Linked DNA regions of Lytechinus pictus. The protein of the gene in region 1 interacts with the protein of each later gene in a pairwise test. Links are inferred from orthologs where the notes say so. Each region holds a gene or a part of one and is shown on either strand. Other genes may lie near its edges. The genes, in order: DNA-directed RNA polymerase III subunit RPC3-like and DNA-directed RNA polymerase III subunit RPC7-like.

Region 1 (7,758 bases):
CCAGTTTGAATTTGAATTTCCCATAGAGATAGATGGTGATTAATGATTACAACTTTTTATTACACCTTTTATTGTTTGTCCAATATATTGTTCAAACTTTCACCTCTTTGCTTGTCTGATTTTTATTTTGCCTCTTACAAAAAGGGCCAACCTACCTGGTTCCATGAAGCCTGCCAAGCAAGAATACATCTTTCCTGGGAAGCCCTTCTTCCTTCCTAATAAAATGCTCTTCCCATCCTCAGAAACTACAAGCATAATAACCACTGGGTCTAAGCGTGGGTAGCAAGTGTTATGAACTCCGTTAAGACTTCTACAACCTAGAACATTAAAACAAAACAAATAAAACCTCATTCTCATGTTTGACACTTGTAGGATAAGTGGTGTTACAGACTTCTTTACTGAGCTATAATAATTTAAAGGACAAGTCCACCCCAACAAAAAGTTGATTTGAATAAAAAGAGAAAAATCCATCAGGCATAATACTGAAAATTTTATCAAAATGGGATGTAAAATAAGAAAGTTACGATATTTTAAAATTTCAATAAATTTCACAAAATAGTGATATTCACATCCTTGTGGTATGCAAATGAGGAGACTGATGACATCACTCACTATTTCTTTTGTATTTTATTATATGAAAAATATGAAATATTCAATTTTTTTCTCTGTTGTTGTGTGAAACAATGATTAATTCCTCCCTGAACATGTGGAATAAGAATTGTTGAATACTATATGGTTCAATCAAGTTGGTCCATATTGTCAAATATGTAAAAAAATGAAATATTGTATTATTGAAACAATAAAAACAAAAGAAATAGTGAGGGACATCATCGACTGTCTCATTTGCATGTCACTTAATTGTGCATATCATTGTTTTGTGAAAAATAAGCGAAACTTTAAAATGTCATAACTTTCTTATTTTACATCCGATTTTGATGAAATTTTCAGCATAATGCTTGTTTGATTTTTCTCTATTTATTCAAATCAACATTTTCTGGGGTGGACTTGTCCTTTAATAACCTGCAATATGCAGATAAAGATGAATTGGACATTGAGAATATGAATATTCATGAAACAAGGGTCAGCCTATTATTGGCCAATGATTATGCTTTAACGCATGGAAAAAAAAGAGAGAGAGAGAGACAAGAAAGCCATGGGATGATGTGATCTAATCCTAAAAAGGAAATGCTTCTCTAGAGTCAATTACAAAGCATCAATATGATATTGACATAAAGCTTGTACACTAAATGGTAAAGTTTACAACCTATTTATCTAACCCAATTGGCCAACATGTAAAGATCAATATTAACCAACATGAAAGCAGGATGTTACCTTCTTTTGTGCAGACTCGTTTATATCCTGCCTCTGCCGTGGTAGTAGATGCACCACAGGTAGGGCAGAACTTGTATCTGTCATGCCATGCCAACATGGACCTCCCCTGACCGATGATACCAGCATCTGCTGGACTCAGAAGCATTAAAGCCATGCGATTCCTCTTGGGTAACATCTCTGCTTCAGGTTTGATCTTCTGCAGATCTTCTGAAGGAATATCGGTAACATCCACAGCAAACCAGGCACCTTCGGAGCTCTTCTCTTGCATGTCTCCATCCTTGTTCATTGGAAGGTGCAGTGGACCTACCCCTAGGAATATAATGGAAGCTTCCTCTTTCAAGGCAAAGGAGATTTCCTTATAGGAGTATGCAGCAAGATTGTACTGGAACATTCCATTGCTGTCCTCAGAAGGGATGATGTATGGATTCAAGTATCTGTACAGGATATAGGTAGTTGTGGGTGCTTGCATGGCATCCCTTATCCACTGTTTGTTGGTTCTTTGGTGGCTCTGGCGATCAAGTGGGTTGAGGCCAAAGAAGTTGACCAGGTCCTTGTTGGCAACTTCTTTGATCTGAGGATCACTCCTTAGTAGATTGATGACTTCAGTATGGTCCCAGAACTCAGCAATATCCAAAGAGTTCTGACCTGATTTGTTGGGTAGAAATGGATCACACCTGTGCAATAAGGGAACAGAAAAATGTAGGCCTACATGAATCACAAGAGCTACAATAATCACAAAGATCTAAAATCTAATCAGCATGACAAAATTGTTTTGAATAGAATCAAAGAGAAAGAACTAGAGGTCTATATCTTCCTATTGGTATTGTACATCATCATTAGTTGTCATTACCGGTACAATGAATTTTCTAAACTGCTTTTTTTTTTAAGTTATGAAATACAATCATTCTCATTCTTTTTTTTTTTACTTTGGATGTACCATTTTTAATGAAATCTAATGTATAACTATGCACCTGCAACACCATCATCATCAAGAAATTAAATGCAAACTTATCTCCTTGTTTAAAACTTAATTTTGATTATAGCTGTCTGCTCATTATTTATTGTAAACTTTGACATCAAAAGTATAAGGCATATCATCATCATCATCATCAACATCGTCACCATCATCATCAACATCATCCTTATCAATTTTCATCATCATCATCACCACCATCCTCCTCCTCATGATCATCTTCATACTTAGACCAAAAGCTTCGGTCTCTGTTATGTTGGTTGTTCAGCTGAACTCCGTTGGCTTCACTCACCAAATACAGAGACCGAAGTTCTAGCGCGATCTGTACAGGGGACTCAATGGCCATATGTTTATGTACTTAAGATCGGATAAAACGGGGAAGTGAATTTGCGCGACAGCAGTGGCGTAACAGGCGGGGGGGCAAGTTGCCCCCCCTGGCGGATTTCACCGGGAAAATAAAAGAAAAACGGGAAAAAGAAAAAAAAAGAGGGAGAAAGAAAGGGGAAGGAAAGGGGAAAAGGAAAGGAGGAAAAGGAAAGGGAAAAGAAAACGAAGAAAAAACTTTTTTTTAAATGGAAAAGGAAGGAAAGCGGGAAAATGTACGAAAGAAGAACATCTGAGAAAGAGCAAATCATTCCAAAATAGGCCTATGTAATGCAATAGCACAGTGGGAAATAAATCAAAAGATGACAAAATGGCAAACAATTGCGGGAAACGAAGGTAGAATGTAATTAGTCAAAAGCTAATGGACTGCATACAACATTGTGCTTTAAGCTTGCTAAATGCGGGGCTAAATTTTATGCAAATAAGCTACCGGGGCTTTGCCCCAGACCCCACGCAGTAGGGGCTCTTCATTTATAACCTTCAAATGGCTCTATAACGCCCCCCGTTCAATCACTGGCAGACAGGCGGGGGGGGGGGGGTCTTGGCTCCACACCCAAGAGGAAAGAAAATAAATTATATGAGACAACGTATAATGAAATGAATGGAAACAATAAAAGGTGTTATTTGCTGAATATAATGGAAAAATATATCACATAATTAGAATTTAATTTCAATAGGCATTTTTTCCAGCTCGCTTTGCACGCTGGCGACTTTTTACAAATTTTTCCCACATTGCAATGTTTTGCTCCCTCAAAATATTTGGTTCATTACGCAACTGGGTTGAATAAAATTTGTTGTGTAAAATTAAGCTATATTCTGTATATGCCCGCGATTTGATTAAAATAGCGGCAATCTGCGAGGTTTAAATGGCTTTGATATCAAGAAGTTCCGGGGGCTCCGCCCCGGACCCCAACCGCACAGCACAGCGTATGGAAGGGTTGGGCCAAGGAGATATCACTCTGTGATATCTCCTTGGTTGGGCCATGGCTTCAAAAAGTTCTACAAACAAGAACAACAAAAAAAGGAGGAAAGAAAAGCAAAGGAAAAGTGTACCTAGATATGATTTTATTTACTGAATAAAAAATAGCTCAAAGTTAGATTCTCAGGAAAAGGTGATTTTTTCTCGCTCGCTTCGCTCGCTCGGGACTTATATAAAGCAGCTTTTTAGCACATGTGTTATAATGCGCCCTTCCGTTTTTTTTTTTTACTCTTCACGCTACTGCCGCACAGAATCCTGTTCACAGTGGCGTACAGACCACAAAAAAAGGAATCTAAAGAGAGAAGAGTGAAATATATTATTCTCTGGATATCATGTCAAAATCTATCACAAAATTGGATTTTTGTATTAAAAAGGTCAAAAATTTTTGCTCGCTCGCTTCGCTCACTCGCAACTTTTTTTTAAAGATAAATTCTGCCTGATACGCAATATCTGGCCTTCTCAAAATAGTCGCCTCATTACACCATTGCACCTGTTCATACCATGATATGACCGGGAAATTTTTGGCTCTTGCCCCCCCTGGCCACCGACCCCTGTTACGCCGCTGCGCGACAGCCGAGGTAAGTCACTGTTTATGTTCCTTTTAACTTGATTTTTCTCCGTTTTTTGGCAATTAATGCCAAGAGGGAATATTAATTTGCATTTTGGTCGCGTTAATTTTCAAAATTTCTATTCATTAAAGACAAAAATTGAAGAGCCCCGACGGGGGGATTTTGCATTGCAAGTCCCCTAATGGTGGCTGCACGCTAGCGAGCCGTCTGTGTACGAGGAGAAAAAAAAAAAAAAAAAAGTTTAAAAACTCCTCGAAACAGACGGCTGCCAGCTGTCTACTTCATACTAACCCATTTTGTAACAGGATCTTGGCGACATCTACATGCCCGTTCCTGGCGGCCAACATCAGCGCTGTCCACCCTTGTTCATTGCGACTATCCAGCCCAAGTTTCCTCATTCCTTGCACCATTCGAGAAACATGGGCCGTTTCTCCAAGACTTGCACAGCGATGAAGTTCTGTCAATAGCTGGTCCCGAGGGGCTGTACTGATGGAGTCCATTCTTGTACCTCTGTTCTAAATCAGTAAATGTGATGTTGTTAAACAAATCTCAAGGACAAGGTTCGTGAATCAGCTGACACATGAAAAGACCCATAAAGTTAGACTTTCATGCAGTCGTTTATAAATGTGCGCTATGACTACTGTACAGTGTGTTGTACGTGTGCGAGCCAACAGTCGAGTGTCTTTGCTTGATTAAAAGTCAATAGACGGTAAACGCCTGTTCGGAACATCTGTTTCCATTGATTCTCAACGTGCATTCGATATTCGTGCACTCCCGAAATGTCTTCTCTGCAACTAAAGTTGGTCTCTCTTCTTGTTCAGGACCATTTTGGAGATGCTGTAGAGAAAGTTTGTTCACACATTCTGAAACATGGATCGAATAATTTTCGGAGTATAGTCTGTGCGACAAACGAAAAACCAGAACAGGTGAGGTAGTACATCATGGTCATGCCATGGATGATGATGGGTTTCTTTGACTTCGGTCCCACGTGTTAAGAATTTTGTTGGTAATAATTTGGATTCTGGACTAGGCCTCGGGGCACTCGAACTCGAAGAAGGGGGGGGGGGGCATGTTTGCCTAGCCTGGAGGCTTCTGGAGAGTAAAAGTCATCTACTATACGTAGGCTTACTTTCCATGAAGCCTGAGTCGGGATACCATTGCTCTACACACACCGTAGGTTTTCCCACGCGGTGAAAGAAACCACTCTGGGGCTACACCGCTATTCCAACGCGTGTTGGAAAAGTCGACGCCAGACGGGTACGTTTTGGCCTTGAATTTCCAGCAAATTAATCAAAATTACGGCCTAAATTTAGGTCTATGTTATCAATTATATACTAATTTCATAATTATAATGTAAAACGGGTACTCACGGGTTCTTTTCTTTCCAAATTTTGTGTTTTCATCGCCTCTTCTGGCCAACTCTTGCGATGGATTTTGTCGCCATAGGATCCTGTACGTGCAAATCCAGGGCGAGTTGTCACATGACGCTCGCGAGTCTCTAGGGGTAATGGCCTTTAATCAAGGCGTTCTTTTTGCTATAATTTTATAATGACGCTTAAATATCGAAATCAATGTAGACGAGTCTGTGCAGGGGCATAACAGGGGTATATAAGAGGGGGCATAGTACATGTCGCATGTGGAAGATAAAAGTTACGTAATGTAAGTCCCGAGCACTAGCGTACCTAGGGGGGGGGGCAGTCTGCCCCCCCCCCCCCGATGAGTCACAAACCCATGCAAATTACATATCTCTGCCCCCCGGCCCCCCTGACGAGCTTGAAAACCTATTTTGCCCCCCCCCCCCCGACGAGCTTGAATACCTATTTTGCCCCCCCCCTGGCGAGCTTGAAGACTTTTTTTTTGCTTGTCAAATTTTTTCTGGTACGATTGAAGACCTTTTTCATTGAAGAGCCTTTTTTTCCTTTTTTTTTTGCTTGTCAAATTTTTTGGCGGCCGATTTTGCCCCCCTGTGGAAAATCCTAGGTACGCCATGCACTGCCCGCGCTACATGTATGTTGGTAGCCCTGGGACCTCTGGATATTAACTAATCCAATTTAATTACAGATGGCAGATTTTTTTATTATCTGAGTAGCCCCCCCCCCGGATTATTTGTTCTCACATTACTTTCCTTTTTAAATTTCCTTTCGTTCTTTCTTTCATTTTTCTTTCTTTCTTCCTTCCGTTGCTCCTATGGTTTTTTTTCAGGTGAAATCCACTCGGGGGATGGCCAGCCATGCCCCCATCTGTTTATGCCTCTGAGATGTAGGCTATACTCATGATCTTAATCTTCGATTTTCCAAAGTAGGGGGGTGCAATTTCTCAAGTAAAATTTGACAACCCCCCCAAAAAGGTTATCACAGAAAAATTGTCATTTTGTCTCGCGTAAGATTTGACAAGTAAAAAGAAAAGATGGTTACTAAAAATAAAAGACTCATTTTGTCCGTGTAATATTTGGCAAGCCTCCCCCCCCCCAAGTTTAACATATCGGAGGCGCGATGGCTCAGTCGGTAGAGCAGGGGTTTCGGATTCCGGTGACCCGGGTTCGATTCCCAAGTGGTGCGCTAGTGCCCTGAAGGCTTATCCTCATTACCAGGTCCCTCGGAGAGGACCTTAAGCCGTTGGTCCCCTGGTTGCTTGCTCACAGGCATTCGTGCTTTTTTAGCAGTCAGGTAAAAAATCTCGATATAACATAACATTAAAAAAAAGTGAAGGTCATTTTGTCCTGCGTGAAATTTTAAAAGTAATAAAAAGATGGTCACTAAAATTGAAGTTCATTTTGTTTGTGAAATATTTGGCAAGCCCCCCTCCCAAAAAAAGGTTTTAACTAAAAATGATTGAAGGCCATTTTGTTCCTCTTAAAATTTGTCAAGTATAAAAAAAAAAATCACTAAAAAATGAAGGTCATTTGTCCCACGTAAAATTTGACAAGCCCCCCCCCCCTAAAAAAAATGAAAGGTAGCTGATAATGATTGAAGATCATTTTTTCTTGCATAACATTTTACAAAAAAAAGTGTGTCACTATTTGGCGAGCCCCCTACCCTCCAAAAAAAAGGTTTAATTAATAATGATCGAAGGTCATTTTGTCTCTCGTAAAATTTGACAAATAAAAAAAAAGTTGTCACTAAAAAAAGAAGGTCATCTTGTCGCGCGTTATATTTGGCAAGCCCCCACCCCCCTAAAAAAGTTTGTCATTAAATATAGAAAGTCATATGTTCAAAGTAAAATAAATTTGGGAAGCAAAAAAGAAAAGGACAAAAAAGAGCAAAGAATATGAACAAAATATCCCCATTACAAATATTGCTGTGATTCTCATAAGGAGGTGGGGGGGGGGGGACTTAACTTTGTACGAACGACATTTTTTTTTTACATCCAAAATATTGACTATGAATCTCAAAAGGTGGAACGGGCCAGAAATGCTCAACCCCCCCCCCCCCCGATCTGCCATTGATTCCAATCGATAATGACTTTTCCCTGCAATACTGATGCTTGAAATCAAGATACTGAAGATTGATATATTGTAATAT
Region 2 (8,078 bases), about 1.8 Mb from region 1:
AGGGTATGTTTTTTTCCCCAAGCTTTTTCCCCCGAGGTCATATTTCAGCGACAACTTGTTTAGGGGCCAAAACGTGTAAATAAACTTGTTTAAAGGGTTATTTTGCACACAGAGAAAAACTCGTTTAGGGGTTGTTTGGAAGTAAAGTTCTTTCGTCTACCACCATGACTACAGCCAACATAAACACTGCAATTGCATGGATGCAGCGGTGGTCATACTTTTGACTGCGATTGTGATGTTTTTGAATAGGCAGTGAATTTGTAGCGTGATTTGGAACTACCCCTAATCGACCATCTAATTTTATAAGAATCGTATCTGCATAAGTATTTATAAGTTTTACCTAGTTTTTGTCTTGCGATGACTGCGTTTCTATGCGCATAAATATCAGCGAACAACAAATACGACAATTTCACATTTGCAACCTTCTTTTGAAACCAACCACCTGCTATACACTGACATTACGGCCGATTCTCATCGCGGTGGCGAAATATTTTAACTCTTCCAAATCAGTTCTATGATGTCACCATGCTAAATGATTGTCTCATTACTTCCACTGCAAGCTCCGGCACATGATTCAACGATTGACGATGGATATTTTCAAATTTTTGAAAATTTCAGTTTTTTTCGTAGAAAACTACATTTCTTTTTGTTTGTTTAAACCTCCTTTGGTATTTGAGCCATGGTTGAAGCTTTTTTATTGTTTAAAGCATTGATTTGCGAAGCTGTGACTTATTGGGAAAAAGTTGCAAGTTTATTTGAATTATTTCTTTTAGTACAAAAATCCTGGAGTTGTACATTGTACAAATTTCAATGGAAGTGATTTAAATCAATGATTAAAAAAAATTAGTGAAAGTGGAGTAGGGGGTAGACAGCTGGCAGCCATCTGTTTCGAGGAGTTTTTTAACATTTATTTATTTTTTTAATTTCTCCTCGTACACAGACGGCTCGCTATCGTGCAGCCACCATTAGGGGACTTACAATGCAAAATCCCCCCGTCGGGGCTCTTCAATTTTTGTCTTTAATGAATCAAACTTTTGAAAATTAACGCGACCGAAATGCAAATTAAAATTCCCTCTTGGCACTAATTGCCAAAAAACGGGGGAAAAATCAAGTTAAAAGGAATGAAAACAGTGATTTACCTCGGCTGTCGCGCAACTGCACTTCCGTTTTATCAAAACTTAATACATAAACATATGGCCATTGAGTCCCCTGTAGAGATCGCGCTAGAACTTCGGTCTCTGTATTTGGTGAGTGAAGCCAACGGAGTTCAGCTGAACAACCAACATAATAGAGAGACCGAAGCTTTTGGTCTAAGACTAAGTAGGGGGCTAAGTGCATGTTAACCGCTTATTGAAGGATTTATTCATGCTTTGATGATATAAAGTTGATAAAATCTTTCTATTTTGAGTAAAAAAACATATAAAAACTGCCGCAAATAAAAATATTGTCAATCATTTGTACATCATATGTTTCAAAGGAAGTGATTTAAATCAATGATTAAAAAAAAAAATCATCTGTGGAGAAGGGCCGTTTTAGGCACCTATGGGTACATTACCGCCGCCGTCCACAGGATAACCACTTGCACGGCACTTGCAATGCCTTTCGGGCTATATATTTTAAATTAGCAATATATATGGATTTAAGATCAGATAAGCTTTGGATATGAAACTTACAAAACGATATGAAGCCAATTTCAATTCCTCTCTGTCTTTCTGGTACTTTATATCGATGATCTTTCTTGATGTCGAAGCAGGCATGGCCCCGATTCGCTGGTTCTCTCTATACGCACAGAGAGCGCGCGCAATATTATTTAATAAACTTGCTTGTTTACGTCGTTTACGTCAGATCAGCTGTACTGCTGGCTGCGTTCTAGGCGCTCCGCATTTTTTTCGCTGTTCAGCGTTATTTTATGATGTAGCACCATCAGCGATTATACGTGACATGCAACCTGTTGATTTTTGGTACAATTTCCTATTATGCGCCGGCGACTTGAATCTAGACTGTTCGATAGGAAAAATTCGCATATCGATCGTTGTTTGCATAATTTCCACCGCAGTATTAAGGATCGGATGGAGTAACTGGCTGAGATTTGGAGGTAAGCGTTTAAAATCCATTTCTATAGATAAGTTCGTGCTGATTTTTAAAATTAGATTACATTATAAATAATATAAGATTAAGATGACTAAATTTAGTAATAGTATATTGTGAAGATTTAGGCGTGTTTCATATTCTCACATTCGTGTGATGAACGAAAACGTCAAAATTCATTATGAAATGACATGCGTTGTGCGAGGTTAGTATACTAACCTCGCATGCTTGTGTGAGTGCGTTTTAGGGGCCTAAGACTAAGAGTAAGACTAAGTCTGAGACATGTTAATTGTTATTGTCATGATTGTTAAACCATAACATAATTTATAGGCTACCTTGCAAGATCAACCTGATTTTACTGACATGATTTCAATTTTTTTAGTAGATATGAAGCATTTATTTATGTTTTGATGATATAGAATTGATAAAATCTTTCTATTTTGAGGAAAAAAATAAAACTACCACAAATAAAAAAATGTCATTGTCAATCATTTGTAATTGTAATTGTAGTGTACCGTAGGCCTACATGTTTCCAGTGGAACTGGAAGTGATTTATATCAATGATTTAGAAAAAATCATAGAGATTAAAATCACGATTTCAATAATGATTTAAATCAACGTGATTTGAATCAGCCCATCCTGATGATGTTGAAATCTTGAGACATATTTTAGTCGGAATCGGAACGGCAACACCGTGCGCATTTTTGACCAACATAATTTGCAATGATGTGGGACTCACAGGAAAAAGCGGTGGCGGCTGAGCAGTGGGAGGTGGCAATGATTCTCCTCCTCTTCCTAATCCAAGGGCATCAGCAGCAAACGACGACCCTCGACCACGCCCGCGACCTCGACCTCTTCCAGCCATAATGAAGTAGCACTGGTTTGTTGTTTTAAAAGGAACTTAAACTTAAAACAATAAATAAGTTCTTCCTCTAACCCACTTGAAAGTATGGTGTCTTTAAAAATAAAATTGGTATTAACTTGAATTGAATTTAAATAAATGTGACTAGAGCTATAAGGGGATGGAAATATATATTTTGGCAATTTTATGAAATAATAAATAAAATCAGAATGATACGTTGAGATATTGCTTAATATTACACGTATGTGTGAAAATGAGCTATATGGACATGTTTGGTATAAATCTAGAACTACTCCCACCCCATCCGTGATCCTGATGATGATGATGATGGTGATGATGATGATGATGATGGCGATGATGACGATGATGATAATAATAATAATGATAATAATTATAATAAATGAATAGATAAATAAATAAAGATGATAACAATTTAATGATGATGAGGATAATAAGCAAACAAACATGTAAATGAATGGAATCGATGAATAGATAAAAATCCAATTGCTATACGTAGAGACAAGCTTAATTTTACTTTTATTTTATAGACAGGTATAATTGCCCCTTATTAATAAAAAAAAATCCCATTGCTATACGTAGACAAGCTTATAATTTGACTTTTATTTTATAGACTAGCTGCCCCGGCCTTTATTCCAAACCAATTAACTCCTTCTGTATATCCTTATAAAATTATTTCGGTACTTTTCTCTGCTGTGTGTATCGATTGTGAGGGTCTGTGAATAGTTCCAGTGTGTATACCGTCAAGCCAGTGGAGTGGCACCCTCCGGGTAAAAAAAAATGGAGCCTATATACACCCTACACCCGACAACACCCTAGCTCTCTTATTTCTCTCGTATACTGGTAACCTATAGCGTTCTGTGTCAGGCTTTTATTATTTCTGTGCTTTTGTTTTGTTTTTACTAGGGTTTTTACCTCCTGCGCTTAGTGTAGTACCTCATCCATACCAGACCCCTCTATATATATACATCATGATCCCGCCCTCTATCCTACTCCCTTCCTTTTTATAATAGCTTTCACCACTTTCACCACCACAAATATATTGCAGTACATGACAAAAAACTTATTTAAGGGAACAATCCCTTCAAACTGTTCATGTGACAACTCACTGTCGGTTGACGCGCAGCAGCTTTTTCAGTAAAAGAGTGATCCAATAATCTTGGAATAGTTTGCCTGCAACACTATGTCCTCCAGTATTAACTCATTTAAACACGGATTAGATTCTTTTTGGTCATGCATTACATTTGAAATTGTCTTACATCCACGCCCGCACTGTACTTAATTGTTAGACTTTTAATTATGCATCAAGCGTTTACGACCGGGAGATCTACAGGGCTATATACCTACCCTCCCGTACAGATGATGATGATGATTAAAGGGGTGTTTTTTAGTTTTGGACGCGGGCCGCGTGTACATGCACTCATTAAAAAAACACCGCGATAAAAAAAAAAAAAAAAAACGGTGGTTTATATGGTCACTGGTCAATCACAGGGTCAAACGTACAGGGTATGTTTTTTTTTATAAACTATATAGCCATACGTGTTTAGGGTACGTATTTTTGCCCCCAAGCTTTTTTGCGACAACAATACATGTATATAGGGGCCAAAATAACTTTGCCCGCGAAAAACTTGTTATGGTGATTATTTGCACACAGAAAAAAACTCATTTAGGAGGTGTTTGGAAATAATTTAGTTACCCATGTGTACAGCAGTACATTTCAGGGGCCGCGGAAAGGTTTTCAAAGTGGGGGGGGGGGGGCTGATGACCATGCAAAAAGTCCCATTATATCGAGGTTTTTTACCTGACTACTAAGAAAGCACGAATGCCTGTGAGCAAGCAACCAGGGGACCGACAGCTTAAGGTCCTCTCCGAGGGACATGGTAATGAGGATAAATTCCTTACCTTCTCAGTTCAAAACAATTTGGATTTGTATCAGGACGATCAACAATGTTACAATTACTCAATGTGTTAAATGATTGGACGAATATGTTGGAGGTTGGTGGTGCAGTTGATGTCATCTACCTAGATTTCATGAAAGCCTTTGATAAGGTCCCACGTACACCAGAGACTTTTAGCCAAAATTGAGGGATTTGGCATATCTATAGCTCATATGTAAGTGGGTCAGAGGTCTTTTCTTGTTGGTCGACAGCACCGAGTTTGTGTGAATGGTGTGTTCTCTGACTGGGCTGATGTAACCAGCGGAATACAGCAAGGGAGTGTCCTCGGACCCCTGCTTTTTGTAATGTACATTAATGATTTACCGGATCAGATTTCGTCAAGTACTGTTAGTTTATTTGCAGATGACACCAAGTTATACAAGCATGCATGTTAATAATGACAGAGATGCTGAGTTATTACAAGCGGACTTAGATCGTCTTGTGTCATGGTCAGACAAGTGGCTATTAAAGTTCCACCCGGATAAATGTTGTGTACTTACTATTGGTACAAAGAATGATGAATTCAATGAATATACTATGACACATGATAATGCTTCACATAATCTATCACAAGTTGAAACTAGTAAAGATTTAGGAGTGATTGTCGACACAAAGCTTAGTTTTGACCAGCACTTTCAGTCAAAGATAAATAAAGCCAATAGGCTTATGAATCTAATTAGGAGAACATTTGTTTATTATCTTCACAAGGAGAACCTCCTACTCCTATACAAAGCATTGATTAGACCTCACTTGGAGTATGCTCATGCAGTATGGAGTCCATACTTAAAGAAACATATTCAAGCAATAGAAAATGTACAAAGAAGGGCCACTAAGTTGGTACCTGAAGTAAAGAACCTTCCATATGAACAAAGATTGATTCAACTAAAACTTCCTACATTAGCATATCGCCGTGCGCGAGGAGATATGATCGAAACATACAAGTTATTTCACAGGTATGACCAAGAGGTAGTGCCAGATTTGGGCCAGGTGCATGGGCCTACCAGAGGTCATGATAAGAAATTGTACATTCCGAGGTCAGTAACTGAGAAACGTAAGAATTCTTTTTACATAAGAATGAGGAAACCTTGGAATAGCCTAAGTAATGAATTACTAATGCACCCAGTGTCCACAGCTTCGAGAATGGACTGGATAAGTATTGGAAATGTGAACCTGTGAAGTACAAGTTTGACGCTGACCCACCAGGACATGCCGGCCAACCTAAAGAGGAGACAGAATTTGGAACTGAATATAGAGTCTTAGACTGCGTTCAGAAGCATCCATAAGTATCCATATAAGTAAGTAAGTAAGTAAAGCCAAGGGCACTAGCACAATCATATGGTCGTCATTTTTACGTTTTTGTACACGGTTTTTGAAAAAAGAGGGGGGGGGGGGGCTGAAGCCCCCCAGCCCCCCGCTTCCGCGGCCCCTGTATTTTGACTGCCCCCGGGAGTTTTGCCAATGATTTACCGTATTCGGCGTTGGTAATCGACTATGAGATTTAAAAAAAAGATTTAAAAAATCATGTGATAGCAAAGACACCATACCCAGTGGCATTGCGTGAAGACTGAAGCTCTGTAAAATTTACTTTTTGCGTGAGTTATTGACGAGTCCTGATCACTGTACATCTATTTTTGTGTGGTAAGATAGCCGGATATGAACTAATTTGAGTAGTTCTTTTTAAATAATAAACCATATGGGAGTTTACTATAGGAAATTATTCACTCTTTCCATTCTATCCAGTTACTGCGAAGTTAACATCGCATCCCTCAAACAGCCGGTGATTTCGATCGTGTGCTATCCGAACACATGTATCAAGGAATCGTGATATCATCCATTTCTTTGTGTGCGTAATATATTGCACGTGTTGCCGATAGTTGTGGTGTCCCCTGTGCACTCATTCGAATGAGGTCTCGTGTTTTGAAGGATGTCGCCTGCGCCTGTTTGACATCTAATGTTAGACAGACTAGTAGTGTTGTAACCCGCACCCGTTGCGGTACGGGTTAACCTGCCGGTATGCACCCCATCGCGGATTGCGGGCCGGGCCGAGTTCATTCTCAAACCCGCAGACCGTCATACGAAAAAAAGGGAGAAGTAACGACGCATAATAAAAACATTAACAATGAAAATTGAATTAGGATCATGTGCTTCTTACGTAGCGGATTCTTTTAGAGACGTAGATATTTCCTTTTTTAAAAATGCCGGCGTATTTTTGTCCTGTGAACAGTGAACAGGACTGAGACAGTTCGACATAATATTAATAAAATACATCGAGTTGCTCTTTCAAAGGAGCGCCAGTGCAGTGCAGCGCAGTCAGAGAAAGGAATGTTTTACGACTGGCAGAGGGGGAGAGAGATAGAGAGAGAGGGGAGGGGATGTGTTCGGAGAATGTGAACAGAAGCCAGAATACATTGCGTAATCATGTCTGGCAAGGAGCGAGTGATAGGCCACGTGGCAGAGAAAGAAATGCTTTATGACTTGGAGTGGGGCGAGTCGAGCCTGTTTCCACGGCAACGCTCGCTGTTTGAGCTCGAGGGATTTGCGGTGCACGGCAGTGAGACAGTTGTTTGCTTATTGGATTACCAAATTAGGTCATGACCTGATAGAGCGTGCCGTCAGGTCAGAGTGTTAGCTGCCCTTTTTTGAAGACACGCTAAGCTGGTCTAGTCTAACCCTCCTTTTCGTTATTTCATACATTTTCTGATGAAAACTGAAGCCCCCGCACTCTTAATTTTTCCGATGTACAATTGATTGAAAGTCTTTAAGATTTCTGAAGATGTAAAATGGGATTGCAATGGATTGCAAGTTTCTTGCAAATACCTCTCTCTTGACCGATCGATCGAGAGAGATAAAAAATAAAAAATAAATAAAAGCCTAGCTAAGCTAGCTAAGCACTAGTAACACGAGCTGTTTACGTAAGTTCATGGGCGCCCTCGTGCACGTTTGTATTTAGTACAAAGAATTGGAAGAAATACAAAAACAGAAGGAAATAATATATATACAAGAAGAAAAAATTACTGTATCATTATCCTGGTATTTATTTCAATTTTGATTACTTTATAGACGAGGTCCCATAGAATTGAATATTGTAATTATGATTGTTGTGAGTCGCCGTGTCGACCGACCTGGACTGAAAAACAACATTGCCGATCTTTGCTGGGCAGCCTGGGCTAGCT

What was found.
Region 2: the proteins of DNA-directed RNA polymerase III subunit RPC3-like (region 1) and DNA-directed RNA polymerase III subunit RPC7-like interact in binary tests that used the Homo sapiens proteins (3 or more experiments, as listed by UniProt). The link is inferred for Lytechinus pictus from reciprocal best matches to the Homo sapiens genes POLR3C and POLR3GL.

What each region holds. Positions count from the first base shown.
Region 1 is NC_087249.1:23,388,526-23,396,283, forward strand, and holds the start of DNA-directed RNA polymerase III subunit RPC3-like, read left to right. Parts: upstream 1-4,737; 5' UTR 4,738-5,016; coding exon 5,017-5,163; exon of another isoform or gene 5,164-5,223; intron 5,224-7,758. Other genes in the region: NAD-capped RNA hydrolase NUDT12-like, read right to left, coding at 156-317, 1,333-2,006, 4,529-4,737. UniProt on the Homo sapiens protein: DNA-dependent RNA polymerase catalyzes the transcription of DNA into RNA using the four ribonucleoside triphosphates as substrates.
Region 2 is NC_087249.1:25,193,750-25,201,827, forward strand, and holds the start of DNA-directed RNA polymerase III subunit RPC7-like, read right to left. Parts: upstream 3,077-8,078; 5' UTR 2,954-3,076; coding exon 2,828-2,953; intron 1-2,827. UniProt on the Homo sapiens protein: DNA-dependent RNA polymerase catalyzes the transcription of DNA into RNA using the four ribonucleoside triphosphates as substrates. Specific peripheric component of RNA polymerase III which synthesizes small RNAs, such as 5S rRNA and tRNAs.